Rattus norvegicus: one gene and its partner. The protein of the gene in region 1 purifies or fractionates together with the protein of each later gene. This does not show direct contact. Links are inferred from orthologs where the notes say so. Each region holds a gene or a part of one and is shown on either strand. Other genes may lie near its edges.

Region 1 (14,987 bases):
CCCAAATTCACCCAAGTAGAAGCCACACGAGGCTGAGGTTGGTTAGAAGGGCCAAGAGAGTTGAGGATAAAGGCCGTTCTACCTTCGGGATGTTGGTGTTGGTTTCCTCCTTGCTGCTGGCCCTTGTGTGACCCAGCTTCCTCTCCCAGCCCCAAGGGCAAGGAGAGGCCTAGCCCATCCTGTTGCTCCTTCCTGGCCTGCTGCCCCAAGAGGTAAACAGCCGTGCAGCACGCAAGCTGGCTGCTGAGCGTGCCCCAACAGAACTACCTTGCTCTTTAAGCCGTCCTAGGGTCTCATTCCATGCCTGCCGTACCCAGCAAGGCTAGCACCTGCAAGGCTAGCAGAATAGCAAGCTCTAACCCTGTCTGAGGCAAACTGGTCAGACCAGTCCCCTACCGAGAGTTGGGGACACACTGCCCAATCACTTCAACCAAGAGGAGTAACCTCCAAACCCCATGTTTCTCTTTACAGCTCTTCCCATTGCAGACCGGAGGCCCCCTCACCGTGTACTGTCCCTCAGAGTGATCCTAGGCTCCAAGGGGAGCTAATACCCTCCTTCCCCCACTACCCATCTCCAGGCTCTCCCACTCCATATATATAATACTTCCCTTGCTGGTGCCTCCATGCCAGTAACCCACCTTTAACTGGCACGGACAATCAGGGACAACCCCGAAGACCCAGCCCTTTCAGTTCAGAACCCTAGGAACCAGAATGCGCAATTTTGTATAATTAAAGCATGTTTGAGTCTTTTATTGTCCTATCTGTATTCTCTTCCTACAGTGGCAACCAGTGCCGCCTTCTCCACACACCCTTCCGCCAGGACCTGCCACAGCAGGACCCTCCTCGCCCAGCCTTGAGGCCTTATCTGAGTCATTCTCCCCCTCCCCCACCTCCAGAACTGGGGTCCAATAGATCGTCCCACTCGGGCAGCAGAGGGAAGCAGTCACTAGCTTCCAACCACATTTCCCAACTCTGTCCTTGGTCCAAAAGGAAGGTGGACAGGGCAAAATCACCTGCTCCCGTGAGAAAACAGCTGCTTAAAAGGAGGGATCCCAGGCAACTGGTGAAGTGAGTGAGGGCAGGGCTTTACTATTCCTACCGCCCAGGCTCAGGAGGTGGCAAATACATCGGGATGGAGGGTGATTAAGTTGCACCAGCAGATCGGGTCATGTGGGAGTTGAGTAGATGGATGGAGGTGGAATTATTCTAGAAGCTAGCTCTACTGCTGCTTTTTCTGCTTGTGGGGAGCCTTCGCATTCCAGTAGAAGAGGACCTGGGCAGCAATAAGGCCATTGCAGAGAGAAGAGACCACAAAGACTCCAGCCATGAGGGGATCTCCAGTTTCCTGGTATGAGAGACAGCACAGATCTAGAAAGGTTCCAGGGCTGGCAGGCAGGCAGCTTACCTCTCCACTTGGCTGAGAGTGAGGTTTTACTGCCCTCTAGAGGGCAGAAGGTGCACTCACCTGAACAGAAGTGAAGATCCGGGCCAAGGAGCCCCCAAACAGCATAAACACTGTAATGGCTGAAAGCTGGCCTGTGTGTCCGTTGTGGTAGTTAGTGGCTGCCTGGAGCAACTAGAGGAGAAATTGATACTTTTGATACTCCTCTGAACCTCCTCTGTGACCCATCACCCTTCCTCACTCCCCGCAGACTTGCACTCCTTACTTGGAGGTTTCCCTCTGCTTCTACACTACCATACACATCCCTTTGCTTCTGAGTACCCACCTTCCCCACCACCACAGCAGGTACATTGGAGGCCTGGAGCAGGGTGGGCACAGCCAGAGGCATGACTGGGGAAAGCAGCGCCAACAGGACCACGGCAAAGCAGACAAGGAAAGCAACTCCTGGGGGTCAGGGAGACAAGGAGCCCTCTTGAGCCTCCTGAGTCCCCAGCAAAGTCCCCAAGACACAATGCCTGCTCTCCAGCCAATCCCCGGCACCTTTCACGGTCTCTCCTCTGTAGTGCATGACCAGGAAGCAGATGGTAACCGTCTGTAGTGTCAGGAACAGTGCTTCACCCCAAGAGCTGCAGAGTCAAGAGGTGGGAAGGAAAAAGGCAGGCCTGGAAAAAGGCAGGGAAAGCCTCCATCGCCCATCAGACTCTGTTCTCTGACTAGCCGGTACTTTCCGGTCTACAACCCCACCACACCCGGTCACTCAGAATGCTCCCTTCATCCCATATTCATGGGTGTGAGTAAACTTCTGGAAGGGCTGAAGCACTTATTAGAACTCTTATTAGAATTTCGGTCACTGGGGCTAGAGAACAGCTCAGCAGGTAAAGATGTCTGCCTCCAAGCCTGATTACCTGAGTTCCAGCCCCAGGATACACACACACTCGCTGGAAGGAGAGAACCACTCCAACAAGTTGTTCTGTGACCCCCTCCCATCTCAAGTAAATAGTAAAAAAGTAAATAAATAAAAGAACTGTGGGGATTTGGCTTTGGGCATTTAGAGTGGACTCTCACCTGAAGGGGAAGTTGTTGGTGATGCTGTAGACCATAGTTCCAGTCAGTGCCACTAGCTCCAGCATTACTGACTGGAGACTCAGTCCTTCTGCACTCTTGGCTCCCAAGAGTTTAAATATCTGGGGGAGCTTTACTGTGGAAAAAGTGGTATGGCTGAGGAAGAAGCAAACTATCCCCATTCCTTGGCATCAGCCTCTCAACCCCCTTCCCTTTACTCTGACAGAAGGAACTATACATACCAAGAAGTGACCCAGCCACGATGCCCAGCCCAAGGCCTTTGCTGAGGAGAATCTTGAGGCAGGGAACTGAGAAGAGAGAAAAAAGTAAGCAAAGAGGCCTCTGGAGCCCAGGTGAGGGTCTGAAGTGCTCTTAGCTGCTCCCTTTTCCCCTCACCCTTAATTTGACCACCGCACCAGTAAGTCTCTGCGGGAGATATAGTGGGGCAGACATCCTTCTGGCTACAAACATTCAGACTAGACGTGTCATCTTCACAACAGCTTCTCCGTGACTGCCTTCCTTCCTGTTCAACCTTCCATTTCCTATAAATACGGCTAAGTATTTCTTAGAGTTGACAAGATACGCTGATGAAAGGGAAGAGTGGTTGCCTGCATAAGGGTCCAGAAGGTTCGGGGATACATGGTGTGGGGATTTGCCTTTGGGAGGAGGAGCATCTGAAGTGGCCATCGGTTACTGAGGAGAGAGTGGGGTCAGGAGATTTTTGAGCAGTGCCTGTGTAACTGGAAAGCTAACTTTTATCCCTCTTTAATCCAGAATCAACATGGTAGACGGAGAGACAGACAACTCCGGAACTTCCATGCATTGCCCATAATAAAATACACTCCTAATAAAAATGTACTAAGAAGGGGTTGGGGATTTAGCTCAGTTGTAGAGCGCTTGCCTAGGAAGCGCAAGGCCCTGGGTTCGGTCCCCAGCTCCGGAAAAAAAAAAAAAAGAACCAAAAAAAAAAAAATGTACTAAGAAATTATGTCTTTTAAAAGTCATCAGGGATGTGTGTGTTGTAGTACAGAGATTAAAGAATCTCTGAGTTCAGGGCCAGCTAGAATTACATAGTGAGACCCTATCTCAAATATTTAAAAACTATTGTCAGGTGTGGTAGCACACACATTTAGTCCCAGCACTTGGGAGGGAAGGGCAGGCAGGTCTCTATATGAATTCAAAGCCAGCCTGGTCTACATAGTTCCAGGACAGCTAGCGTTTTGCAGAGAAACTGTTGCTAGAAAGATAGACAGACAGACAGTAGACCAGCGTTTAGGAGTATGGACTGTTCTTCCAGAAGATCTGGGTTCAATTCCCAGCAACCCCAACTCTTAACTCCAGTTCTAGGGGATCTGACACACTCATAAATTCAGGCAAAACACTAATGTATATAAAACAAAAATAAATCTTTAAAAATATTATTGGGCCAACAAGATGGCTTTGCTCCCAACTCTGTTGACCTAAGTCTCTACATAAGGGAATACACACAACAAAAATACATCTTAAAAATTTGGGGCTGGAAAGGTAATTTAGTGATTAAGAGCACGTCTCTGCTTTTGCAGTGATCTGAATTCAATTTTTTTTAAATTTATTTATTCATTATATATAAGTACACTGTAGCTGTCTTCAGACACACCAGAAGAGGGCATCAGATCTCTTACAGATGGTTGTGAGCCTCCATGTGGTTGCTGGGATTTGAACTCAGGACCTCTGGAAGAGCAGTCAGTGCTCCTAACCACTGAGCCATCTCTCCAGCCCCCCTGAATTCAAATTTTAGCATCCATGTCAGATGGCTCACAACACCTGTAACTGTAGCTCTAGAGATATCTCACGCCTCTGGCATCTCCAGGCAACTGTGTTCATGTGTGGGTATACATGTATGCACACAATTTAAATACTAAAAACAACCATCTGTAAAGGGATCTGATGCTTTCTTCTGTACTCAACATATATGAAATAAATAAGTAAATTTAAAAAAATACTAAAAATAAAAATATACATAAGAATAATCTATTTTGTGTGTGTCTATAGGCACATGTGTGAAGGTCAGAGGTCAGAGACAACTTTGTAGAGCCAGTTCTCCATTTTTGCCTTTCTGTAGTTCCCAGGAATTGAATTCAGGTCACCAGCCTTGTAAACCATCCCTCTAGTCCCAAGTAGGGATGCAAACTTGCAGGCCTCCCTGCTCTTCCTTGCTTTTTAGTTATACAGGCATTGCTCAGAAGTTCCTGACCCTTTTCTCTCTTGTCAGTAAAACTTCAAATCAAATACTCCTCCTTCCAAAGGCACAAACCCCCGATACCATACATTCCTGAACCTTCTAGGTCATCCCCACTCTTCCAGGACTTTCTTCCCTGTTCCTCCACTATCTCCATCATTTACTTCTTTGTCTTGGAACTCACCCTATAGACCAGACTGTCCTTGAACTCAAGAGATCCTCCGGCCTCTGTGTCCCAAGTGCTGGGATTGAAAGTGTGGGCCACTGTTGCTGGCAATTTCTCTCTCTTTTTTTTTTAATTCTTTTTTCCTTTTTTTTCCAAAACCCCTGTGTGGAGGGCTGACTTTCTTTTTAAAGATTTATTTATGGGCTGGAGAGATGGCTCAGTGGTTATGAGCACAGACTGTTCTTCTAGAGGTACTGAGTTCAATTTCCAGCAACCACATGGTGGCTCACAACCATCTGTAATGGGATCTGATGTGCTCTTCTGGTGTGCCTGAAGACAGCTATGGTGTACTCATGTACATAAAATAAATAAATCTTTAAAAAAAAGATTTATTTATTTCATGTACATGAGTACACTATTGCTGTCTTCAGACACACCAGAAAAGAGGGCATTGGATCCCATTATAAATGGTTGTGAGCCACCACGTGGTTGTGGGAACTGAACGCAGGACCTCTGGAAGTGCAGTCAATGCTCTTAACCACTGAGCCATCTCTCCAGCTCACAGAGAACTGACTTTCAATAGATCACAGTGAGGGAGCTGCTCTGCTACATTTGAAACCCCATACTGGCAATTTCCCTATCATGGAATCTTTGACCTGGTGGGCATTTGGCCCAGCAGGAAGTCTTTACTATTGTAAGCCAAAATGAACTTAGAACAGAAGAGATGGAAAAGGCTTACCAAAGTCTTTGATATTTGGCAATGAACTTGCCTTGTAAAGAAAGGGAAAAGGAAAGTAAAGTGCTGCTATACTCCCAGCATTCTGGTGGCTGAGGCAGGAGGACTGCTGCCAGTCTGTGCCACATAACACATTCCAGAAGTTGGTGCTGGGCGGGGGTGGAGGGGTCGGGGTGGGGATTCATGGGCCTCTGTAGTTGAGTGCTTGGGACTGAAAGGAGGTCTATATGCCTGGCTGGGATTTTAATTTTGTTTTATAAAAAGTGAGTTTTCAAGTCTGGGGATAGAGCCTAGTTAGCAGTGTGGCGCAAGAGGCCCTGAGTTCCATCCCCGGTCCAGAAAGGGATGAGGGCGGGGTACCGACTTCCCAGATTGTAAAACACAAATTTAACTATTTTTTTCGGGCGACACCCCCTCATGCCCAAATATGGCACTTTTCCTATGCAGGGTCCAAAACACTTCCGCCCTCTTCAGAAGCGCCTTCTGCCCAGCTTCGCGTGACATTAATCGGCACTGTCACGCTAACTTAGGTCCAAGATTGCTCGAACTAGACTTTGAAGGCTGAATAAAACTCACCATGAAGCAAGTCCCAGTGGACGAAGAATTGATCATAGCATTTCTCAGGTAAAAGAATTGGTACCAGCACCCCTTTGAACGGTCCGTCAGTCTCGCCCGCCATGTTGGAAAGGTAGCTTCCGCCAGTCCGGATAACCCCGCCATTGACCTGCGCCGCGCATGCGCACTGCGTATGCGTATACTCCGCCTCCTCCCCGGGACCGGGCTGCACTTCCCTTTCCTACAGGACCCTTGCTAGCTTCAGTAGGCTGAGACAGTTCTTCACAGACTAGGTTTTGTACGCGCCTTGATGTTCGAATTTTAAAGCATGTCAGAGTTTTACGCCTGCGCAGTTAGAACTTCCGCACTTTTGTTTACGCTCTGGGTTCTGAAAGCAAGGTTTATTTCTCCCTCTTTCTCTGTCCCTCTTGTGTGTGCGCCATCTTGTCTTTTCTCTGCCAACTTTATACTGTTTGAAGTTGGAAAGGAAAAGAGTTCAAGTCTTCAAAATGGCGCTAGTGAAGGCGCTGCAGTTCTCCTATCTTCTCTTGGTAAATAGCATAGAGCCGGAAAGGCCATTCTGAGCTGGGCCTTCCTTCTAGTATCCTCCCTCTTCCTCTGTCCAGATGTTAAGATGACAATGAAGCAGAAGAGGGGCGAGCTCACCGGCAGGATATAGCAGCCCCTGACACAACGTGGGGTGTGGGACGGGGACGCAGAGCCTCTTCTGTGTCTAGGTGGGAACCCAGAGGATGCGAGCAAAAATTTATATTTATCTGGGAAAGGGCCCCAAGGGTTAGGCGAAGAGAGCCACGCTACATTCCAACACTCTTGCCAAGACACCTACCTACTACGTTTACTATCCTAATGAATCTACGCTTGGCTATCAGGCACTCCCAAACTGTTTCCCCGTTCCTTGTTCTTGGGGGTAGTTGCTGGGCAGGGAGGATTGCCACATGTACCTCTGCTGGGTGGAGCGCTAGTCCAGGGATTTCTGTAACCTCATGGCACTGGTAAAATTGGAAGGGCACCCATGCTTGGCTCCTATCCTTGTACCATGCCCTACTATAAACAGAATTTATACGTTTTTGGTGCCGTGGTTAGCCATCTGAAAATATCTTTTTAGAATCTGGACAAGGGCAGATTGCAGATGGCATCACTTCCTCTCCTTCTGCTACTCAGGGATCAAGCATTTGTTGGCCAGGCCTAAAGTTGTTCCTAGAAGCACAACCTTCATAGAAGTCAGAGTGTCTGCTGCACTAGTGGGCTCCTCAGTGAGCTAGCCCTGGCACAGTGGACATGGAATCTCATTGTTCAGTAGCCACTTTTGAAATAAAATAATACAGCCACCTACTCACATTTTGGTTGCGTTGTACCTCTAACTGCGCACAAGGGTCAGCAAGAGGATGTTAAGATGGAATGATTCATTATGTTAAGGGAACAGGCAGCCAGAGGGAGGCGGGAGTTTTAGTAGTTTCACCAGCAGCTGCAGGACATTAAGAAATGAACCCATGAAGGCATTTGGTCACTCTTTGGTATTTTTGTCCCTTCTTGCCAGCTGTCCCTTGGTGACTCAATCATGGAAAGGCACAGGAAAGCACATGATCCTGGCAGGACAAAGGAAGCCAAGGGCAAAGATTTCATTAAGTTTTTCTACTCTTCATGAGAACAGGAGTGCGTACCATGCATGTTTATTAATTCCCCACCCCTATTATAAAAATCTCTTAATTTTGTTCTTAAAGACAGAGAAGGGAGATAACTCTGTTGAGTCAATTGCATGCTGAAGAAATGAGGATGCTCCTTGGTGGCCTACAGAGTGGACTGGAGCAAATGCTCAGAGGGGCTGGTAGGTTGATTGTCGTCTCCGGGTAACGCAGAAGGCAATGAGCACCAGGGTGAGGAGGCCCAGGAGGACCAGGCCAATGATGAGAGGCAGCAAGAGAGATTGGTCACTGGCGCAAGAGAAGCCTGGCAGAAAAAACAGGGTCAGTGAGAACCGCTGCAGTGGTGCATGGGCTAAAGGTGGGCGGGAAGGACAGAAGAGTTAAGTGGGAGGGAGAAAGGTTGAGGAATTCAACCCCATAGTTTGGAGCATAAGGAAAGGGGAAATAGGCAGCTTTGTAGAGGAGACTGAGGTTTAGAAAAAGTTCTGGGGAAGGTTTCCAGTGCAATGGGAAACTTCAAGCTTACATGGCCCGAAGTGTCCCTTGTCCGGCAACTGAGCAGCCTGCAGCCTCAGGGAGAGCAGGTCCAGGTGAATTGCTGGAGAAAGAACTATGCTTGTATTTCCGCAACAGAAGCTTTGGCCCAGGGGAGCTTGGAGCTCTTGAAGAGATGAATTCTGCGCTGAGAATGTCCACTCTAAAGTAATTAGTAATTAAGATTCAAATCTAGTCCTGATTCCTGAGTCCCCACCACCACCCCAGCACTTCCAGTGTAGACTTTTAGTGTGGTAAAGAGAAGAGGTTGCTCACGTGCTGCTTGTGGGAAGGACACATTGTATTCCACTGCCATGTAGTTAAGGTAGACTGTACTGTGGCTCTGATGTCGGTCCTTGAGGTGAACAGAAAGGCTCAAGGCATCAGGGACAGTGGCATCCATGTCCATAGAGCAAGGAGGAGGCTTAGGGGGTCTAGGGGTGGGATATAGAAGAGTGAAGGAGGAAGACAAATTCAAGCTGTATACCTGTTTGAATCCAAAGGTAAGCTGTCCGTAAGGGAATGAGAGAGCCAAGTGGGGATGGGCACTGTCACAGCCCCCCTGGACCTTGGTTTTGTTCGGGTTCAATACAGAGAGGCCCCAGGCCTGCAGAAGTGAAAGAATAGTGGGTCTGAAGTCACATGAATGGCACCCAGTTTATCCCTTCTGCTCTTCCTCCTCCCTTCTGAACCAGCCCAGGGCTTGCCTCTGGCCTTCTTTAAGCCCTACTACTTTACCTTTTTTCCACCCTGGGTCAGGTACAAGATGCGAATTTGAATTTGGGCTTGGAGCTGAACACATGGCTGGGAACCATTAGTCCATGTGTAGTTTCCAAGAGCCCCAGTAGAGCTTGGACTAGGACTTGGTGAGGGCGGAGGTGGTCCAGGGTGAGGGCCAACAGTGGAGAAGCCTGGACTGTTTGTGGTGGGAGAAACTGTGGCATTCCCATGACTGGTGGTGGTGGGCCTGTGGCTGGTGGTGGTGGGCCTGTGGCTGGTGGTGGTGGGCCTGTGGCTGGTGGTGGTGGGCCTGTGGCTGGTTGTGGTGGGCCTGTGGCTGGTTGTGGTGGGCCTGTGGGTGGTCGTAGGGCTTGCTGTGCTTCCGGTGGTTGTAGGTGTCTCCGTGAAGGATGGCAGAAGAGTAGCAGCCTTTTTGTGAGGACAGTCTTTCCCTGTTCCTTGGGCTTTCATTAAGAGATTAGTTGATAACCCAGGTGCCGGCTCCTGCCCAGGAGCTCCCTCTCTCCCACCTCCCATTCTCCTTACCTACAAGCAGTACCAGCAAGGTCAGACACACAGGGAACCTCATGGTAGAGCTGCTGAGTCCAGCTAGGCTGTAACAGCTCCTTCCTCAACCCAATCCCCTCTTCTCTTGGAAGAGGAAATGAAAACTCTTACTTCCCTTAACCAAAGTAATCCCACCCCAAACCTGACTCAGGCACCTCAGCTCTAGCCACCCGCTAAAGTAATTTAAATGTTTTCACAATTAAGCACTGATTGGTAGTGGCCTTCTCAGTGGGCGGTAGTCTTAGTTACCATGTGAGGATGAGGCAGTTGACTCACACGGAACTTACCTAAGCCAAAACTTGCTCTACTTGGCAGTTTACAAAGCAGGCAAACAGGAAGCCTTTTCCTCATTGGTAAGAAATTCACCCTCACCCATGTGCTTCAATCCCAGCACTGTAAGGCAGCAAGCAGACCCAAAAGGCCAGTTTGGCCTATATAACCGCAGGACAGCAAGGGCTACAGAACCCAAGGTAATTAGCACCCACATTTGGGTTATGACTAACACCCAGTTGAAGTCTTTGAACCCATTACTACTTTTTCAAAACTGGGAGCAAGTGACACTTGTGTCTTGTGCTAAAGCCCACTACCAAATTTCAGTAGTGTGGGTCATTTGGTATTTCAGGAAGCAACATGGCAAATTCAGGAAAGAACTAGTGCAGGGGCAGCTGAACCACACTAGTAACTGCAGGAGAGGGAAGGGAAGAAACAAGAAGCCCAAACAGGCAGTTTCCAAGTAATTTTATTCAGAATTTTGTGTTTGTTTCCTGAATCAATAAATACTATACAAAACAATGTAAAAATGGCTACCATTTTCTCTCCCCTGCTCCCCTCACCTGGGGACAAGTCCCTGGACAACCTCATTCAGGGGGTTCTCCCTGTAGATTTGGTCCAGCAAATGAGGCCAGCCATGTTTTAGCCCCTTGACTCACTTTTGGAGATTTGGCTGGGGTAGGAAAGCCTTTAGGAATGAGGTGATTAGGTTAGGGAAATGCATTAGTGTTTGGGGGGGAAGGAGACGGCGCCTGGGGCAGAGCCTACCCCAAAGAAAAGGGTGTCTAAAATGTTCACGGTTCCTTCTTTTTGCCTCAAAAAGTGACATTTATTCAAAGAGAGAGAGAGAGAGAAAAAAAAAACAAAACAAAAAAACAAAAACAAGATGTCCATCCCTTGGCTCCCTTCCCTCCCCCCTCCAGCTGTTCCTCAGCCCTGCCCCCAGGACTGAACCCTGGGCTAGGGCCAGGTAGCAGGACAGCCCCTCAAATGAGGTCAGCAACGTTGAGGGGCATCTCTTCAATGGAGGTGTTGTAGAAAGTCTCAATGTCTCGAAGAGTCCTCTTGTCTTCTTCTGTCACCATGTTAATAGCCACACCTTTCCGGCCAAACCGACCACCTCGACCAATTCTGGGGGGGGGGGGGGGAGGTTAGTTTAAAAAGGCGTTAGGTTGGGGAAAGGAACGTGTTTTTTTTTTTTTAAGCACAGGGAGTGTTTGATCTGTCAGACCAGGTAAATACCTGTGGATGTAGTTTTCCCTGTTGGTGGGAAGGTCATAATTGATGACTAGGGAGACCTGCTGCACATCAATGCCTCTGGCCTAGGTCAAGAAAGAATAAAGCCATCAGAGGACACTATCAACCCTAATTTAGTAAGCATATATGTAGGCTGCCAAAGGAGGGCAAAGGAAACAAGTATTCCTTGTTCCCCAGAGACCTTGGACATGCCTGGCTTTCTTCCAAGTTGCTACGTTCCTAAAAAGGGCACATAGTCAGCCCTTTGGAGAGGGAATCACCTTGGGCTATTTTCTCCCTTTCTTTCCTTAAAAGAGCATCTACTCACCAACAGGTCAGTGGTAATTAATACTCTGCTAGAGCCAGACCGGAACTCCCTCATGATCACGTCTCGTTCCTTTTGGTCCATATCTCCATGCTGGAAAACAAGGTTAGGAGCAGCTAGCATAAGGCTCCTAACACACAAAGACACATCTATCATTAACAAGACTGAGAAAACTCACCATGGCAGAAACTGTGAAATCCCGGGCATGCATCTTCTCAGTGAGCCAGTCCACCTTCCTTCTGGTATTAATAAAGATTACTGCCTGGGTGATGGTCAGTGTTTCATACAAGTCACACAATGTGTCGAGCTTCCACTCCTGGAGATCAGGAAACATCAATCAGGAGCTATACCCAACACTTATTACCAGGCCCGCCTCCTGCACTGGGCCCCACCTCTCGTTCCACATTGATGTAGAATTGGCGGATACCCTCCAGGGTCAACTCTTCCTTCTTGACAAGAATCCGAATAGGGTCTCTCATGAACTTCTTAGTCACCTCAAGGACATCAGAAGGCATTGTGGCAGACAGCAAAACTACCTAGTGGGAAAAATGCCCCAGCCATGATTGAGTGCACTGTACAATCAAATCACAACCGAGCCACCGTCCCTCCAACACCATCTGTTTTACCTGTGTGTTGCTGTTGAGCTTTTGGAATATATCATAGATCTGATCCTTGAACCCACGGCTTAGCATTTCATCTGCTTCATCCAGGACGAACATCTTGATGTATTTGGGTGCTAGATGGCAGGAAAAAAAAAACCCCAACATATAGTAATCAGACAAATGTGAAATATATTGAGGTCTCTTGATAAGGCAGGCAGAAGGCAGACAGTCTGCTCTCAGAATGCAAGGACTGATCCTTTGCCCTCGGCTTCCCTGATAGGTCATGCAAAAGCCCTGGTAAGTAGAACACTACCTGGGCTAAGGTTAACAGGGAAGCCAGGCTCAGATGACACGCATGGGGTTCATCACAGAGCAACTCAATTCCAACTAAAGGAAAACTCATCCAAGGAAATGAAATGTAGAAAAGAGCCCAACAACTGTTCCATGGCACTCACACAGGTATCTCCGGTTAAGCATATCGAACACCCGGCCAGGGGTGCCCACGATGATATGGGGAGCTTCCATTTGCAGCTTCTGCACCTCAGCACGCACGTTGGTGCCCCCAATACAGGCATGACAAGAGGCACCCATGTAGTCTCCCAGTGCCATAACCACCTTTTGAATCTAAATGTAGAAAGGCATCTACATTAACTTGGGCAGTACCAGTGAGTTAAGTCTTTCTTATTACAGACAGGAATTATCCCACTCTTAGCAACTGAGAAACAGGAATCCACTTAATCCTCTTCCAACACCACCAATACCGCCACCAAATGGCAATGCTGGATCCGTCCACACAGGTTCACAGTAAGTTTCCCACTCTACATGCAGCCTCATAAAAACCAGGCCAGCTCTACAAACAACTCACACTACATCCTACTACTCCATTCCAAAGGCTGAGATTATGAACACAGCCCTATCTATACCCACAAGGTGATTATTCCATCCCTGCTACAGAACCAAGACTTAGTGATCCATGCTGAGCTCATAAGCAAACCCCCAAAATAAGTAGATCTACAGGGTTCTAAGGTGTCAATCCTCTTATCACGTCTTGCTTACATTGCTACCCAGATGCTTGCTTCAGTGATCACTAGGCTTGAAATAGTAGTTAACAGACTAGCACCAGGATTTCATGTGCCCTAGGCATGAAACAGCTTTGGCCACCAAGCCAGGCATCAAGCTAGGATGAACAAAGGCCTACATCTGCTCTGCCCCTGACTGATATAGGAACAACACCACCAACATGGTGTCTCCTTGCCCATGTCCAGGGGGTGGTATGTTTGTTGTAAACACAGTTTAACCTGCCCAGCCAGCTAGATTCTAACAATACTCTTCCCTTCCTTATTTGACTCAGAAAATGGATTTAAAGTGCTTTTTTTTCCTGGTAGAAAAGTTGTTAGTAATTAGGCAAACCAATCTCAATAGATCTAGAAGCTGTCAACAAATCCCAGTGGCATACAAGAGCGTACCTGACCTGATCTTCTAATTGTCTCTTTAAGACAAGCTTTCTCTAAGTGTTGGCTGTCCTGGAACTAGTTTTGTAGACCAGACTGGCCTTAAAATTGAAGTGCTCCACATGCCTGGGTCACCAGTATCATCACCACTGGCAGACTCTTCTTGAACTCTTAAAGCAGTCATATAGAATTGGAAACACCAATCTTACCTGCTGAGCCAATTCACGAGTGGGTGCCAGAACCAAAGCCTGAGTGGCCTTTAGATCTAATTCAATCTGCTGCAGAATGGATATGGCAAATGTAGCTGTTTTCCCAGTCCCAGACTGGGCTTGAGCAATCACATCATAACCTACAACCAGATCAAGAGTTAGATGTGTAAAAAGTCTGCACCTTAGGCTCAGAGGACACCTGTGAGACTTCCTGACATCAGTAATGGAACAAGGCTGGTGCCATCTACCAGAACATTATGAACTCAAACACAGCTGGCTAGGTTAGACATAAAGCAATAATAAAGGCCTCGAATTGGAAATGGCAACCCCCTCTAAGGCATGACAAAATAAAACCCCAGAACCAAGAAGCTAGGAAAGGTAATTTGTTGTCCCCCCAACCCCCATTGCTATGCCCACCACCAACCCCATACACACTATGCAGATCAGGACAGTCCATATCTAGCCTGATAATGAGTCTTACCCTTGATACAAGGAAGAATAGCTCGCTGCTGGATGGCAGAGGGCTTCTCAAAACCATAGGCATAAATACCACGGAGGAGGGATTCTGAGAGATTCATGTCATCGAAGCTATCCACAATCTCATTCCAGTTACTCTGCAGGATACCAAAAATGAATAAATTTAGTTTATACCAAAGCTGCAGTCGCCCCACCCTACTGCTCTGTTCCACCGTCCTAAATATCTAAGGTCTATGTCACCATAAGGAAATGCCTGTTCGGACATAATAAAGTGGCGACCACAGATTCTAGTCTTACCTCGATGACGCCTTCCGGCTCCATCCCATCGGGGCCATTGTCTCTGGATCTGTTGATTCAAAGCACTAGTTTTTTTTTCATGCTTTGATTAGAGCATGCAAGCAACTAGCCCATTCCCGATCCAACACTCCCACTTATTCCCAAAGGACCATCCAGAGGCACTTTAGGGTGACCCTCCTTTAAGATCAAGGGGCTGTAGAGGAGTTCATTCACACACACACGGCGCCGAGATGCGGTCTTTGCTGCCAGGCCCACATGTTCTGGGTCTGGCGGATCAAAGCGTGTGCACCTCCATCCGGAACACCAAGGCCACCGGAAGTCCCGCCTTCCACCTCCAAGTTCCGTGGGTGGGCCGTCCCCTTCCCCCCCACGTCATGCCGCCCGCGCCCTCCCCCACTCCCTCCGGCCGGCCCCCCTCCACAGTACCCGGATGTGGGAGGCCGCGGGCGGTGGCGGCCTCGCGCACAATGAGCCCCAGCCGCGCTAGCAAAGGGGG
Region 2 (15,948 bases), on another chromosome or scaffold:
AAATCCCAGCAACCACATGGTGGCTCACAACTATCTGTAACAGGGATCCGATGCCCTCTTCTGGTGTGTCTGAAGACAGCTACAGTGTACTCATATAAATAAAAATAAGTCTTTAAAAAAAAAAAAAAAGAGTAGTCTTGGATGCTGGTGGGAGTCTGACCCCAGTGTGGGGGAGGGATGGAGACGGGCAGAGCTAGGGGCTTGTTGGTCTGCCAGCCTTTCTGAGATGGCAAGCTCCAAGTTATCAAAAAATAAGTGGGGCTGGAGAGATGGCTCAGCGGTTAAGAGCACCGGACTGCTCTTCCAGAGGTCATGAGTTTAATTCCCAGCAACCACATGGTGGCTCACAACCATCTGTAAAGAGATCTGATGCCCTCTTCTGGTGTATCTGAAGACAGCTACAGTGTACTTATATATAATAAATAAATAAATCTTTAAAAAAAAAAAATAAGTGGAGAGCAATAGAAGGTACCCGATGTTGACCTCTGGCTTCCACATGGACATAGTGGCTTTTACTTGTATACACACACACCAAAAGAGGACAGAAAGTAGTTATGTTAGACATCCTGGCATTTGTGTGTGTGTGTGTGTGTGTGTACAAGTACACATATATGTACATATTCATATACATATACATATGTAGCAGATCTCAGCTACATAGTAATATCACCTCAAAAACAAACAAATTAACAACAACAACCACAAAAGCCACCAACAGAACAAAATACATGGAGAAAAAGGTACCATGTGTATTGGCTGTGGCCTGTGATCCCAATTCCAGCAGGAAGATGATCTTCAATTAGAGGTCAGCCTGGGCCAAAGAAAGGAATTGGCCAGCTTGGACTCACAGAGTGAGACTCTGTTTCAAAAACCAAAAATTGGGGCTGGGGATTTAGCTCAGTGGTAGAGCGCTTACCTAGGAAGCGCAAGGCCCTGGGTTCGGTCCCCAGCCCCGAAAAAAAGAACCAAAAACAAAAAAAACAAAAATTGATGGGGGGGGTGGGGGACTAATTAGAGCTGGGGTTGTATATCCTTGGTAGTTTGCCTTCTATGCACGCACAAGGTCCTGGGTTTACCACAACACAGGGAGGAGAGCAGGAGAGAAAGGAGCAAGAATGAATGCTTCTAGAACAGATGGACTGGACATGGTGGGAGGCTTATAGTCTCATTTACTTGCAAGGTTCAGGCAGAAGGATTGATTGCTGGGGCACAGGAGTTGGAGTTAGAGGGGCAGCCTGGGCAACACAGTGAGAGCCTGTCTCAAAAAAAAAAAAAAAAAAAGAAAGAAGGAAAAAAAGAAAAGAAAAGAAAAAGAAAGAGAAAAAGAAAAAAAGAAAAAAGAAACTTAAAGGGCCCATCTGAACCCAGTACCAGTTCACATTTACTCAGACGGTAATTGCCCTGAGACTATCCATGAGCGTTCTTTCAGCTCATAGGGAATTCAGGGTTTTGGCCCAGGTTGCTGTAGGCTCTGGGTATAGCAGGCAGCCACCCAAAACGACAATGCTCCTCTAGGGCATGAGCTGTGTCTGTTGTAGGATATTCCGGCCCTGTTCTCTATGTGGTGAGGCTGAGCCTGGGCTTGTGTTGTCGGGATTCCTGCGGGGTAACATAAAATCCTCTGGCAATTCACAATTATTAAGTCGTTCGAATTTCATAGCCCATTTGAGTGCTAGCCACATCAGAGGGATTTTTAAAGGACAATGAAATGTCTCTGCGGAAGTGAATCATAATGGGTAAAGCATACCAAAAAATTACTGCATGCCAGGGAATCCCTGGGTAAGTGTTCCCTGTTTATTCCCTAAACCCCGGGAGGTGGGGAGTGCTTTACAGAGGAGGAAAACCTAGGCTCAAGGAGATTAAGAACGTTCTCTAGGGGCTGGAGAGATGGCTCAGTGGTTGGGAGTGTGTGCAGCTTGTGCAGGAGCCCTGAGTTCAATTCCCAGCACTAAGGTCAGGTGGCTTCACAAAAGCCTGTTAACTCCAGCACCTTGATGTAGCTCCTTCTGGTCTCTGCGGGGGGGCCCCAGCATTCGTATGCACGTACCTTCCCCCATCCCTTCCAATTCCATAAAAGTAGAGCCTTTCATGACTACTGTGAATCCCTTCCCCTACTCTCAAATGGCCTCAAGATTTAGCCTAAATCTAAGATCTTTCATAAACCAGTCTCCTCTTTTTTCCCTTTCTCTCCCTCCCTCCCCCTTTTGAGACAGGGTTTCTCTGTTTTAGCTCCGGCTTTCTTGGAACTCACTATGTAGACCAGGGTGATCTCAAACTCACAGAGATCCACCTGTCTCTTGTGGGATTAAAGGCATGCAACACTATGGTCTGGCTCTGGGACTCTTTTAACCTTAGCAGCCTCCTTAATCTCTTGGCAATGAAGCTCTCATCACTTGGGCCTGCTTCTGTTACCTTCATTCCACGAGTGGGGCCTGGGGAGTCTTAGGCCTGACAGAGGGGGCTTTCACTCATTAAGCTGTTTTGACATCGTCATGGAAAGCTTAGTGAACAAAGAGCTGAGATCAGATTTTTAAATGTTTTTATGTGTATGGGTGTTTTACCTATTATCTGTGTATGTATGAATCTAGTTCCCAAGGAGACTAGGAGGCGGCGATCTGGAGTTCCAAAGGCGTGAGCTGCCTTGTGGTCTAGGAATTGAACCGGGGTCCTCTTGGAGAACAGCCAGTGTTCATAACCTGTGAGCCTTCTCTTCAGCCCCCAGATCAGATTTTCTTGCCAGGTCTATGTTTGACGATAGGGTTGCTATGCTGAGGGCGAGACGTCTAAAAGGTCCTTTCTCAGGTTGGAAGCCCAGGACTTCCTTTTAGATGTCATACAAATTACCTTTCACGTCCTTGAGGCTTTATTTCTTTATTGGTGAATGAGGTGTAACACACATTTTACAGTGTTGTCAGGGAGTTAACCTCTGAAAAAATGTCTACACATAGTAGGTGTTCAGTGTTAGCTGCTCTGTAGGATGTGGGGGTGTCTAGAAGGGTCGGACTTCCTGTACTCAAATACAAGTGTCAGCAAGCACTCAAACCTCGGCTGCAGGGTCAGTTTTGCAAGAAATGAACAAAGGACAATTGTTCTACCACTGATCTACAGCCCTTGCCCCAAGGTCATGCTTTTGGAAGAATGGAGAGAGCCTGTCTCTATAACTTTGCTCGCCAAGCTCCTCCCACTTTATTGCCTGAGGTCAGAATCTTATCTAGACCTTAATATTATTTTGCCCAGGATCTGTCCTGTTTGAGGTTGATAATGCTCACAAAATGCTTAGCAAAGGCCAGGCGCGCACTAATTGCATGATGCTTGTGGCTATTATTAAGATAAAGAAGGAAGCTAGCTCAGAAAAGAATAGCCATTAGGCAATTATCAATCTGTTATCAGCCTCGAGTAAACAGGGAAGTCAAATCTTTCTGCTGGGAACAGATTTTGATTGGGATAAAGAAAAGCCTGAGATCTCAGAAACCTGAAATGAGACTCTGGGGGCCGAAAGGACCATTTGGCAATCTTTCCTGGACTTAGGCAAGCCTGGAGAGGAGTGGAGAAATCCACACTTAAGTAACCTGGGATAACAAATTTATACGGTGGAGCATGCTGAACTAGGAAATAGCTGTCCTGGTCCAGAGGCGGGAGGAGGCCTTCCTTCTAATGCAGGGCACTGTGGAGGCTCGGACAGCTAGAGGTAGTGGGGAGCAGGCCACGTAGCTTTTATCCTACAGGGAGCACCACATGTAAAGCTTTAGTTAAAAACAAAACAAAACAAAAAAAAGAGGGCCTGGTGGTGAGTGCCTATAATCCCAGTACTTGGAAGGTAGAGAGGCAAGATGGATCAGGAGTTCAAGACCATCCTCAGGCATGTAGAGAGTTGAGGCTAGCCTGGGCTACTTAAGACCCTCCCTCAAAAGACAAGCAAGTGGGCTGGAGAGATGGCTCAGTAGTTAAGAACACTGACTGCTCTTTCAGAGGTTCTGAGTTCAAATCCCAGCAACCACATGGTGGCTGACAGCCATCTGTAATGGGATCTGATGCCCTCTTCTGGTGTGTCTGAAGACAGCGACAGTGTACTTATATACAATAAATAAATAAATCTTTAAAAAACAAAAGCAAGCAAGGCAACACACCCCCAAATACCAACAACCACCTCCCCCACTCCGAAATCCACCAGTGTAGCAGGAGTCAGACACTGATCTTGTGTTTGTGTTCATGTGTATGGAGGCCAGAGGACAACCTCAGGTGTCATTCACCAGAGGGTGCTGTTCACCTTTAATTTGGAGACAGGGTCTCTCATTGGCCTGGAATTCATCAGAGTGGACTGTGGCCAGTGAGCCTCAGGGAACTGTTGGCTTCCACCTCAGGGCTGGGATTGTAAACACCTGCCTCACACCAGACTTTTCCAGAGTAAATTCTGGGGACTGAACTTGGGCCCTCATGTTTGGAAATCAAGAACGCAGGACACTAATTTTACCTCTGTCCATGTTGGTCATGTGTCCTTGGCAAAGACTCCTGTCAGTTTTGAGCCATCTCAAAAAATTATTTTTTTTAAGTAGTGTAGATGACAGTTAAACCTCTTTGGACCCCAGAGTCTTCATTGTAAGAATAGGCGTTTATCTATTTCTTGGGATTATATGAGCTAATAAAGTATTCTGTATCTGCACAGTGCCACATGTCTGTGACTCCTTTTCGGCTAATGTGTACTGGGGACAATATCCCTATGGAGGGGTGCAGGTGGTATGCAAAGTGTGAGTGGGGGTGGGGAGGAGAAGACCTTATCAACAAGTGTTACCCAAGCCAAGGAGAATGAGGAGCAGACTACAGGTTGTAGCCAAAGGCCATCCAGTCTTGAGGAAGGTTGTGGGAAGATATCCATTCTACAGAGCTCAGGGTCAAAGTTTCTGGTAAGGCAGGCCATTTTGCATCGTAGAAGGCAAGGCTCATCCTAGAGAAGGTGGAATCCAGTTTCTGAATCCTCTCCATCCCTTCCCAGCCAGGAACCCTGGGGCAGTCACTTTCTTCTCCGGGCTTCCTCTGCAAAATGGGGCTCCTCGTTCCATTTCGCACTTAGGGCATCTGAGGACGACGTGTCGACATAATGCCCAGGACTTGCGACGTCAAGGGCCGGCGAGTGGCATTTGTTATGTTAATAACTCCTTGCGGCGGGCGGGTTCCTATCTGTCGGTTTGTGCTCTGGCTTAGCGGTTCCCTCCACAGAGACTCGGTTTTTCCGCTCCGCCGCCTCTCGACGTTTGCTTGACAGGTCTCGGCGGACAGCTGCCTCGGGTGCGGTTCTTCGAGGCTGGGCTCTTTCCCTACAGACCTCTCCTCTGGTCTCTACCTCAGCCCGGCACCGAGCCGCGGGGAATCTCAGCGGTCCGGGATCACCGATCTTTGCCGAGAAAGAGTGTCAGCTCCTGCGGCGTTCCCGAACAGCGGCCGAAGACGCTCCCGAGCGCTCCCGAAGAACCCCGGCCGCTCGCAGTCTCCGGAAATAGCCGAGGGAGCTTTCCACCCTCGGTCTGCCGAGTCCTTCCGAAAAGGGCCGAAAAGCTCCGAGCGGCCGTCCTGCCGGACTGCTGGAGGCGGCCGCAGCGCCATGTTGGATGCTCTGCTCGTTGAGTGAAGAAAATCCGTCCGCATCGCCCGAGCCCCGCTACCGAGAAGGGCGCCGCTTCCCCCGGGGAGGGGGACAGAGACCCCCCGCCGCCGGCCCATGAGGATATTGCCGTGAAAGGTCCGGTCTCTCCGCCTCCTGCCCCCGCCGGGTCCGGCCCCCCCCTCCCCGGGGTCGCGTTGTCACGGAGACCGGCAGCCGGTGGTGCTGGCCCGCGGGGCGGCTGCTGCTGCCCGCGGCGGCGGCGGCGGAGGCGGCGGCGGCGGCGGCGGAGGGCGTGTGTGACCGGTCCCGGCCCCCTCCTCCTCCTCCTCCCAGCCTCCCCCCGGCCCCCCGCTCCCGCCGCCTCCCCGGGTCTGCCCCCATCCCGCCCCTCCGCTGCCCCCGGCCCCTGCACCCCGGCGCGCCCGGTCCCGCTCTGGGGGGGTTGGTGGCTTCGCTTTGCCATGAGTTTACCGCAGAAACCGGCTCTGAAATCAGGCTCAGCGGCTGCAGCAGGAACCGGACCCGGCACCGGAGCGGCGGCGGCGGCGGCGGCGGCGGCGGTACCGCCTCCTCACCCGGCGGCGGCGGCGGCGGCAGCGGCGGCGGCGGCAGCGGCAGCAGCGGTAGCGGCGGCCCCTCCTCACCCGAACATCAGGGCCCTCCAGACCCCGGCGCCCCAACAGTATCCTTTTCACCTTCCAGCGGTCCAGAGCGACCCTTGGTGGGAACCTCCTTGCCTGCCGTCATAGCCCAGCAAGGAAAGGGACGGGCAGCCGCTCTGCTCCCGGCTTGAGTCGAGCCTTTGGGGTGCACCGGTGACAGCATTGCTGGGGACCCCGGGACCCTCTGCGGTACCGTGGACACTAGCTCCACCGGGCCGTGCCTCTGCAGCTCTTGTGGATCTGGGGGAACCCTGCCCTTGCTGCTCCCTCCCCTTTATTGGGCAGAATTTGCTGGTGCCTGGGACCAGCCCTGCAGGCAAGGCTTTTTTGATTGTTGGGAGGCCCTGCCTTCTGCAGGGTTCCGTGGCCTCTCTAATTATTATTTAGAATACATAGTAAAGTTTATTGCTAAATTTCCTGTTCGAAACGAATCAGCTCATTCCTGAGGTAAGTTGGGTCTTCAGTCTTCAGTGTGAGTGTAGGAAAAGCACTCCCCCTGGCTAGTGTTTAGTTTTGTTTATATTTTATTTTATTTTTTGAGCAATTAGAGTTGTGTTGTGGCTTGTGGTGGAACCGGCTAAGGAGGAAATGTTACACTGGGCGCTTCCCTGTCTTTGACCTTTTTAAAGGAAGAGGAAGTTAACTCACATTACCCAGCACCCCCAGAAGTCTCACTTCTTCCAAGATGGGTGTTACACTGTACATCTTTTTAAAGGGCTTTAGTAAGTTTGCTCCTTCATAGACTTGATGTCTGGAGGGTACTCGGGCCCTCAAGGATGTGTCTTAGTTTTGAATGTGTCTAATTTCTTGATAGAGAAGTTGGGGCAGCTTTGATTGAAAAATCTTGGTACCTGGTGTTTTAGTCAGTATTAAACTTCAAATTCATGGCTCCCCCATGGAGCTTCAGCAAGGTGGTTGGTGTCCCGTCCCCTTCCCCACTGGGTTCCTCTATGTAGCCCTGGCTGTCCTAGAACTTGCGCTGTAGACTAGGCTGCCCTTGAACTCAGAGACACGCCTGCCTCTGCCTCCCGAATGCTGGGATTAGAGGCATGCGCTACACTACTTGGCAAGCTAAGGTGTTTGTTACCTATCTGAGAAGAACATTTCAGCATTTGCCCCTCCTCCCCACATTCTTGTACTTGTCCAAGAATCCACAAATGATTTTTGGATGTCCCCTGCGCTGTATGGTTCTCGCATTTGACTTTTAAGATGGGAGTGTGTTTGAGCTTGTCTTTTTGTGTAGTTTGATTCTTGCCTGTATCAATTACTTTGAGAAGGGAAAAACGCTTCCCTTCTTGGGTCACCTCAGGTCATTGTTTTCTGTCAAGCGTCCTTTCTGCGTTCTTTACGTATTGTTAGTCCACATCTTAGTGCTTCAGTGCTGTCTGTGTGCTGATTTCATAACGTTCTGACCCTGCACCGTTCTGTTCAGTTCCTCGCTCACGGCTGAGAAAGTTGCACGTTCATGGAAAACCCAGTTACTTCTGACCCACATGCGCAGCTACTGGCCTGTGGAGGAGTAGGTTGGCTGCTCAGCCTGCTTCAGGGTAGAATTGGGTCGCTCCAGTCCGCCTAGCTTGTCTACCTAGCTTCGCTTCATACTTCTTTCACATTCCCTTCTCATTTTAGGGTTGTTTTTCTTGATGGCCTGTGTTCGTAGGTTTCTGTCTCCGGGCCAAGTGAGTTATCTATCCCTTACCTGCCTCTTTAAGCTGTTAGGCTGTTAAACCAGAGGAAGTGCACAGTATGTGCTCTTGACAGAAGAGCAAGTAAGGGATTGCTGTGTTGTTTGTGACAGTGCTTGGCGAAGTTGGTGGCTTCATTGGATACAGAGCGGGGTACTGAGTAGCCCTCGTGTGCTTTTTCTCCTTATACCTCACAGCTGAAGGACTGGAAAAACTTGAAGCTGGTTACAACTTGGAAGTAATGGTTGGAGCTCCACTTAGGTTTTATCTTTTCTGTAAAATAGACGATGCGGTGGGTAATGGGAATACGTTTAAGGCGCTCTTTACAGTAGAGATTATTCTGAACCCTTCATGGCAATGTCGGCGCCAACCATGTTGCTTTAAGGTTCTGTTTTGCCTCATGTCATGGCGGCTGACATTTTATACTTGATGTAGTCTGTGATTCCTGCTTTATTCCTGGCAAGATGACACTGCTGAATAAGCATCTGACTAGATAGTAAAGGAAGTGTAGGCTAGAGCCACCTCAGAACACAGCCGTGGTAAAATGTCGTCACCTGGTAACGGAAGAGGTCAGAAATGCAGTAGAGCATTGTGCTTTTCAAACTGGAGGGGATGTGGGAATTCGGGCTTGGTGCAGATGCAGTCGTGCAGTAAGATGGTGCCGTAGAAGCCCTTGGGGCTGGAGTCGGCTCTTTCCATGCCTTCCAGCATGTGGTGGAGTTGCTGCAAGTGAGTTAGTAAGCAGTGCACTAGAAAGTGTGTTGGAAGGAGTCGGCTGGCCGGTGTCCTTCATCCGTGCTGAGTGTTCAAGTGTGAGTGGAAATGAAGGGAAGTGTTGAAAACACGGGATTTGAGGGGAAGCCTGAAGCTGGAAGCAGGCATCAGTGTTGAACTGCAGGACCCTTGAGACCACTTGAAGGAGAAATGGCCACATTGACTTCAAAGAGTCAATGGATGTTTGCTAGCAGAGCGAGCGAGGTATGGGATGGCAGGCCCGGAAGGAGAAAAAAACACCCTAACACGAACAGTACTCAGAGCAAGGAGAACATGCTGCGAGTGTCCCTCACAGACACTGGAAGCTTCTGCTTGGTGAGACCGCAGCTTGGGAATGTTTGTCTTGTGTCTTGATGTGCTCAACTGAGCTTCCCCGTTGAGGTTGAGGTGGCTCTGATGAGAATCTTTTTTTTTTTTTTTTTTTTTAAAGATTTATTTATTTATTTGAGTGCACTGTAGCTGTCTTCAGACACACCAGAAGAGGGCAGCAGATCTCATTACAGATGGTTGTGAGCCACCATGTGGTTGCTGGGAATTGAACTCATGACCTCTGGAAGAGCAGTCAGTGCTCTTAACCGCTGAGCCATCTCTCCAGCCCTCTGATGAGAATCTTAACGATGGTCATCCTTTTTCTGGCTGACAGAATAACTAACATTTTGATCAAAAACCAGTCATGCTTAAGTTCTTCAGGGGGTTACTGGGTCCCCCATTAAAATCCCAGCTCTTTAGATTTGAGACTGCCTGCCCACGTTTCAGAAAATTCTGGATAAATGAACTCGAGTTAGGTGCGCATTTGAGCAGAAGTATTTTCTGTATGTTAGGAATACAGTATCTGTCCGTCTGTGTCGGAGGCTGAGGCTGTGATTCAGGGAATCTTCTTTCTTATTTAGGGGCAGCCAGTTAAGCCAGTGAGACACAGTAGTTTCTTTCCAGGAACAGAACTAGGTAGAGACCGGTGTCAACCAGAAGAGGACTTGTGTCTCTGGCTTCTTTGTCATAAGTGTTCTTTCTATCTTTGCAATATTCCTATTTCTTTTTTTAATCGTCTCTCCCCTGGACATTAAGTTGGCCTTAGCTGGTGAAGTGTGTGATGTTCCGCTCTGATAGCGAGGTCTGGATAATAACACCCATTTTCAGTACCTGCTGCTGTAGAGGTCGTACATGCAGCATTCTATTTAAGTTTTCCGAGACTTCTAATGAGGTAGGTGTCTGTTTTACAGACAGGGGTACTGATAAGCAGAGAAGTTAATTTCCCGGGTCACCTGTGCCAGTGAAGGGTGGTGTGTGAGCAGACTAGTGGCCTGTGGTGGCCTTCTTACTTGGCTGGGTGAGCAGCCTGTGTGTGGGCCTGGGAGGAAGTGTCAGTACTCCGCTGCATCCGAGAGAAGCCGTGCTGAGGAATGTAGAACACAGCCATGGTCTAGGGTTTTAAGTTGTTCACAACAGCATACTGCTAGACAAATAGGCTATCTTCCCCCACTGAGCCTTAACAGCATGGAGGTCCTCCAGTGGACTTAGTTCATGGTTCTGCTTGTTCACGAGTCAGCAAGGCCTCCAGCAGAGGGTCACGGTAGCCAGCAGTTGGAATTCTGAGGCTCTTGTGGCCAGCAGCTCCGAAGCCACTCTGTCAAGAAAAGTGTCAAGTCTTCAGAGGCAGAAGCAGGCAGATCTAGAGTTGAAGACCAGTCAGGCCACACAGTGAGACCCTGTCTCAAACCAAGCCAAACCAAACATTTTTGAAGGCAAATCCTCATGGAGGGAGAAAAGAGATGGCAAAGTGGTAATGAAGAGGGAGAGCCCTCCCAGGTGCCTAGTCAGAGCACATCTGCTGCCTCCAGCCAGTTGACTGGCCACGGATGGGTGGGTTTGGTCACCTGAGAGTTGAAGCTTGTCACAGGTTGCTTTTCTATATTGAGGTTTATGATGAATCTTGAGGGCGATTCTTTAACAAGTTTGACAGCATCTTTTACACGCAGTGGAGAGAATGGCTCCGGTGTGTGTTTACAGATTTATTTGTATTCATTTACTTACCACCTGCTGTGCCTGGTTGCTAGGTGTAGGGTTGAGATAACCTTTACCCTCAGAGAGATTGGTCCCAACAGGCAAGTAGGATACGATCGAGATAAGACTTGGTGACCACTCTGCTGTGAGTCCGGTGTGCAGACAGGAGTCAGGGCTTCCTGGAGGGAGTTAACATCTGAGCAAGGTAGAACCATGAGTTGTCAAAGGATTCTTATTCTCCTGCTCGAACTGTCCTCTCTGAGGCTTACTGCCTGCGTCTGCCAACCTAGGCCTAGTCCTGGAAGCTTCTCGCCTCTGTACAATCTTATCTAGGCCTAGAATGTTGTCAGCCACTACCCTTGTTGACTAAGCTCACCCTTTCTAGTTCTTTATGAGCTGAGGCTGACTGGTTCAGCTCAGCTGTCTTGGCTCAAAACTCCTCTCCACGCTGACTAATTCAATCTTGCTGCTTTCTCTCTTGGCCACTTCTGAATTAGTTTGACCTCTAACTCTGTCAGTCTGTCTGATCTTCTGACTCCTCATTCTCTGGCTCATTTTGTCTTCACTTGTGTCTAGCTTGATCTCTCTCTAACCTCTCTCTGTAAAACTGTCCTGATAAAACTGCCTCCTTCCCCCTCTCTACATTGTTCTCTTAGTAGCTTCCTTCTCTCCTCTCTTCTGAGGGTTGGGCAGATCCTTTTCTGTCAAATCTTTCTCTGATTCATCACTTTATCTGCCACTCAATTAGACATCATTTTTTAACATGACTGCTTCTTTCTACAAACTAACTTTACCTTCATTGTTTGGGATTAAAGGTGTGTGCTAAGGGCTGAACCACACCATAGCAAGAAAGTCCCCCCACCCCCCCACACTAAACTCTGGGTTCACAGAATGATTAAGAGTCCTGCAGCAATGAGTAATTCCTGTTCTGGAGCTGCCCCGCCAGCTGGGCTTTACTCTTACGCCTGCCTCTCCCCTGTTGTGGGGAACTGGAGGAAGTACTGTAGACAATGTAGTTGTTACAGAGTCAAGAGTGTTTTGTACCTGATGGGATGGGCATGTGTGCCCACCCCCCCTTAACCCTAGAAGCCCATTTTCCTTTTGGGGTGCCTAAGAGCGCTGGTTGTCCCTGTTTGGAGCCTGGATGTGGTCCTAGCACTCCTGGAGGCTCACAGCTGTCTGTAGCTTCAGTTCCGGGGATCCGTGCTGTCTCCTGACCTCCACAGGCACACCCATGGTATGGTGCACAGTACACATAAAATAATAAAAGAAATAAATCTAAAATCTCTACAAAAGGCCGTTGACCTTTTGATAATAGACTTTGACTTTGAAATAATTTCTTTTAACCTTAAAAGACCAGATGGAGCTTGATAACATTCAGCAGTGCTGGGTGTGAATTAGGCAGGGTTTGTGTTCGCTCTCACTAATTGAGTTAGTGTTGAGTCAGGGTCTTGTGTGGTCGGCCTTAAAGTCTGTCACTTGGGGTTGACCTTGAGCTTCCTGGACTTCTGGTTCTCCTGGGTCTTTCTCCGGGTTTTCCACTGTAATAGGAGTGTTATATTGGGTTGGTCACATTGAGTTCCACGGAGCATCTGTGTTGCTTTTCTCCAGCGAAGGGGTCAGTGATCTTGAATCCCAAGGGTTTGGGATTTTGAAGATGTGCTTTGAGGTGTGTTTTGCTATTGCAGGTATAGGGTGGGGCTTAACTGGATCAGTTAATGATATCTGTGTGTGTCTGGTGGCAGCTTTTTGGTCTTCCTAGAATGCTAATGTGGAACCACAGGAAGAGGCTTGCTGGCTGGGGCTTCCCACCAGACTTAGCCTGAGACCCAAGTGTCTCTGCGGTTCATGTTCTAGACTGTATAAAGTTGGTTGTGATGGTTTGAGAGTGGAAAGTTGCCATGGTCAGTGACAACTGGGTGTCAAGTGATGGGCTTAGCTCTGAGGCATGAGGGAGAATGGGTTCTGGAATAAACTGTTGTGTGGGACCTGTTTTTCTGTAGGGATGGGATTTTGAGATAATGCAGTAAGAAAGGATTTCCTGATGGTTAGTCCTGCAGACTACTTCAGCAGAGCTGAAGCACCGCCGAGATTGTGTGGGTGAAATGCCGCAGGGTCTCATGCGACTTCTGCGTTCTCAGATGACTTCCAGTTCTTTGGCTTGCTGCCACCCAGGAGAAGCATTTCACTCTCTGTAGCCTCAGCTGAAATTGGAGACAGTTCAGTCTATTTTAAGTGCGTTTGAAACTCGTCAGGTTTTACGACCTTTATTAACTAGTAGCTTCTTTGTGTTTTTTGAGCCCTGCGTGCTTCCTGACTCTGAGGATGCGAGAATGTAAGCGCCACAGAAGCAGGTGTGCTGTGTGTCCTGTTGGCGGTGGCTTGCCAGGACCGAGGCTAGTGCTTAGTTTTAGGGATACTGCGCATGGCATCTTAACTCACTTTCAGCATTCAGGGATGCCCTGCAATTGTCTTGTACTGATATATGATTAAATAGGAAGTCTGTGATTTCCTTTGAGATAGAATAGTGTTGACCCAGTTTATAAAACTGAAGTGGCTAAGTTGGGTTTGAGGGTTAGATAATGGGGGTGAGGCCTGGGGTGTCACGGAAGCAACAGGACCAACATCTGTAGTTAGATTCAAAACAGGTTTATCATACTCAAGTAACATTAGGAGATTACTATGGAGACCAGGCTGGCCTTGAACTTATAGAGAGCTGCTGCCTCTGCCTCTGCCACTCAGGTGCTGGGATGAAATGCATTGTCAGTGTGCCTGGCTTTAGTAGGAAATATAAAAAAAGAAAAAAAAAAAAAGAACTACATATATGTGTCCTCTCACGTGATCTTGTAAACCCTCCGCACTGTGATGTTAGACTTCACTTGGAATCCCTTCCTGCCAGTCCCTAAGCAAGGTTGGGATTCAGAAGGGTTTGGGCTGGGTCGGCGTCTCCTTTAGCCTTTAGTGCTGGTGTTCCTTTGTGGGCCACCTCCCCTGGCTTCTAGGGGGGATTTCGTGGAGGATGGCCACTGAGCCACTCTCCCTGGCTCTTGTATTCTCTTAATATACTTGTTTCGGGTTGCATTCCTGTCCGAACACGAGAACAGCTAACTGTGTGCTGACCTGAGCTAATTTCAGTGATCTCAGATTCGGTTAGGTTTTTGGAAAATAAGGCCATGTTATCTACAGTTTTATATTTTTTCTTTCTTCGTACTATTTATTTTTGTTTGTTGTTTGTTTTTCGAGACAAGGTCTCACTGTGTAGCCCTGGCTGCCCTGAACTCAGTCTGTACCAGTCTGGCTCAAATAGACCCGCCTGCTGCCTCCACCCAAGGGCTGGGGCTAAAGGTATGCGCCACCACTTGGGCTTTCTTTCTTGGCATTTCTGAAATGGGATTTTGATATGTAGTCTATAGGTTATTGGCTTCAAACTCATGGTGATCCTCCTGCCCCAATCTCTCCCCACCATGACCCTCTCCTCACCATGACCCTCTCCCCACCATGACCCTCTCCTTGATGTCATAATTTGGTTTCAGGAAGTGCTAATGATACGGGAAGATTTACAAGAGATCTGACGGGTTAGGGAAGCAGAGCTGAGGTGGAGACAGAGGAGTTAGGAGTGACGGGGTAAAAGTAGATGGAAGGAGAAAATTACTCAGCTGTAAACCGTTGAGAATGGACCTTTGAGGGTAGAAGGAAGTCCTGTTAGAAAGGCTGAGGCACCGCTTGGCTTCTTTCTAGGCTTTACTAGGCTTGGAAAACGAAATAGAAGAAACTCGAGGGCTGACTGGATGTGGGGGAAGGTGGGGTCTGCTACCAAATCCCGTCTGAGTCTAACCACAGGAACCCATGAGGTGGAGAGCCGACCTCCACCAGCTGTCCCTTTACTTTCTGTGTCTTGTGCTTATGCATGTACGCACGCTCGTACAAGCTGGGTGTGGGAGGTGGACACCAGAGGATTAGAAGTTCAAAATGAGACACTCTCAAAAGAGCACACCCACCCTACCCCCACTCCCAGAAAACAAACAGCTTGATGCAAAGGTGAATGAATGTAAGGAAAAGGTCAGGGGCTGGGGGTCACAGGGAAATGATGTACAGTATTGGCCACTATGAAGCAAACTATTCCTACGAGTCCTGTGTGAGCGCTTGGAGTACCAGATTCTGGTGGTGGAATGCTCCTAAAGTGTGTGTGTCAGAGGACAACTTACAGGGGTTGTCCCCTCTCCTCTTCCTTTGTGACTGTTGAACTGAAGTGTCCAGGCCTGCATGGGAAGCTGTCATGCTGGCTCCCCATTTACTTATGTGACATAGGTCAAACTTTGTACCCTTGCCTGGCCTGGAACTTGCTCCATCCACTAGTCTGTGCTTAGACTCAGAGATCTGCCTGACTCTGCTGCCTTAGCGCCAGAATTAAAGGTGTGTATCATGATACCTCGCTTATTTTCAAACAGTTTTATTAAGATCTAATAGACATACCATAGGAATCACTCATTTAGAGACTACAGTCCATAGTTTTGAGCCATTCAGAACCATATGAAAATTGTTCAGCTAAGGAAACATGTTTCCTTATGTGTCAGTAGGTGTTTGCCTGTCTCTCACCACATGTGTGCATTGCTCATGGAGCCCAGGAGGAGGTGCTGGATCCCCTGGAACTGGAGTTAAAAGGGTTGAGAGCACCATGTAAGGGCTGGGACTAAAACCCAGGTCCTCTGCAGAAGCAACAGATACTCTTAACCACTGAGCCACCTCCCTGGCCCCTTTCACTATAGTTTTAGAACACCCCAGAGTGATCACTGGGCCTTCTGTTTTCCTGAGTTCTCCTCCTGCTAAGTGATTGTGAATCCTCCATATATATTTACCTGGTTCTTCTGGACCGTGTGTGCATGTGTGCGTGTGTGTGTATATATATGTATATACGGAATGAACTGAATCTGTCCCTTGGTGTGACACACTTCCAGGTTTATCTGTGTGGAGCATGCGTCATTATTTGACCTCTTTGCCCCATTGAGGGAGGTTCTGCATCTGTCATCTTTTATCTGTTCTCCAGCAGGTCGATGTTTGGGTTGTTTGAACCGTTTGGTTATTGGATGATAAGTAGCCAAAAAGTCTGCTTAGGTTCTGTTCTCTTGAGCATACATCAGTAGTCCAGTTGCTGCTCCATGAGGTAACTCCTGGTTCCCACTTGGAGGACTTACAGTTTCTCTGAGCATTTACATCATTGGTACCTTGG

Evidence for each region.
Region 2: the proteins of Eif4a1 (region 1) and Eif4g3 purify together in Homo sapiens (co-immunoprecipitation; 6 studies listed by BioGRID and IntAct, counting the BioPlex papers as one, with this or other methods). This does not show direct contact. The link is inferred for Rattus norvegicus from reciprocal best matches to the Homo sapiens genes EIF4A1 and EIF4G3.

What each region holds. Positions count from the first base shown.
Region 1 is NC_086028.1:54,872,748-54,887,734, forward strand, and holds the end of Eif4a1 (eukaryotic initiation factor 4A-I), read right to left. Parts: intron 14,844-14,987; exon of another isoform or gene 14,749-14,843; coding exon of another isoform or gene 14,711-14,748; intron 14,541-14,710; coding exon 14,492-14,540; intron 14,332-14,491; coding exon 14,199-14,331; intron 13,858-14,198; coding exon 13,718-13,857; intron 13,328-13,717; exon of another isoform or gene 13,185-13,327; intron 12,682-13,184; coding exon 12,513-12,681; intron 12,432-12,512; exon of another isoform or gene 12,290-12,431; intron 12,192-12,289; coding exon 12,082-12,191; intron 11,992-12,081; coding exon 11,848-11,991; intron 11,772-11,847; coding exon 11,634-11,771; intron 11,549-11,633; coding exon 11,459-11,548; intron 11,419-11,458; exon of another isoform or gene 11,276-11,418; intron 11,217-11,275; coding exon 11,137-11,216; intron 11,026-11,136; coding exon 10,881-11,025; 3' UTR 10,346-10,880; downstream 1-10,345. Other genes in the region: Sox15 (protein SOX-15), read left to right, coding at 472-601; Mpdu1 (mannose-P-dolichol utilization defect 1 protein), read right to left, coding at 1,220-1,345, 1,466-1,576, 1,728-1,846, 1,943-2,028, 2,468-2,600, 2,707-2,772, 6,161-6,263; Cd68 (macrosialin precursor), read right to left, coding at 7,974-8,107, 8,330-8,500, 8,614-8,692, 8,825-8,944, 9,076-9,521, 9,604-9,646. UniProt on the Homo sapiens protein: ATP-dependent RNA helicase which is a subunit of the eIF4F complex involved in cap recognition and is required for mRNA binding to ribosome.
Region 2 is NC_086023.1:155,475,811-155,491,758, forward strand, and holds the start of Eif4g3 (eukaryotic translation initiation factor 4 gamma 3), read left to right. Parts: upstream 1-5,567; 5' UTR 5,568-5,734; intron 5,735-6,060; coding exon of another isoform or gene 6,061-6,281; intron 6,282-15,948. UniProt on the Homo sapiens protein: Component of the protein complex eIF4F, which is involved in the recognition of the mRNA cap, ATP-dependent unwinding of 5'-terminal secondary structure and recruitment of mRNA to the ribosome. Functional homolog of EIF4G1.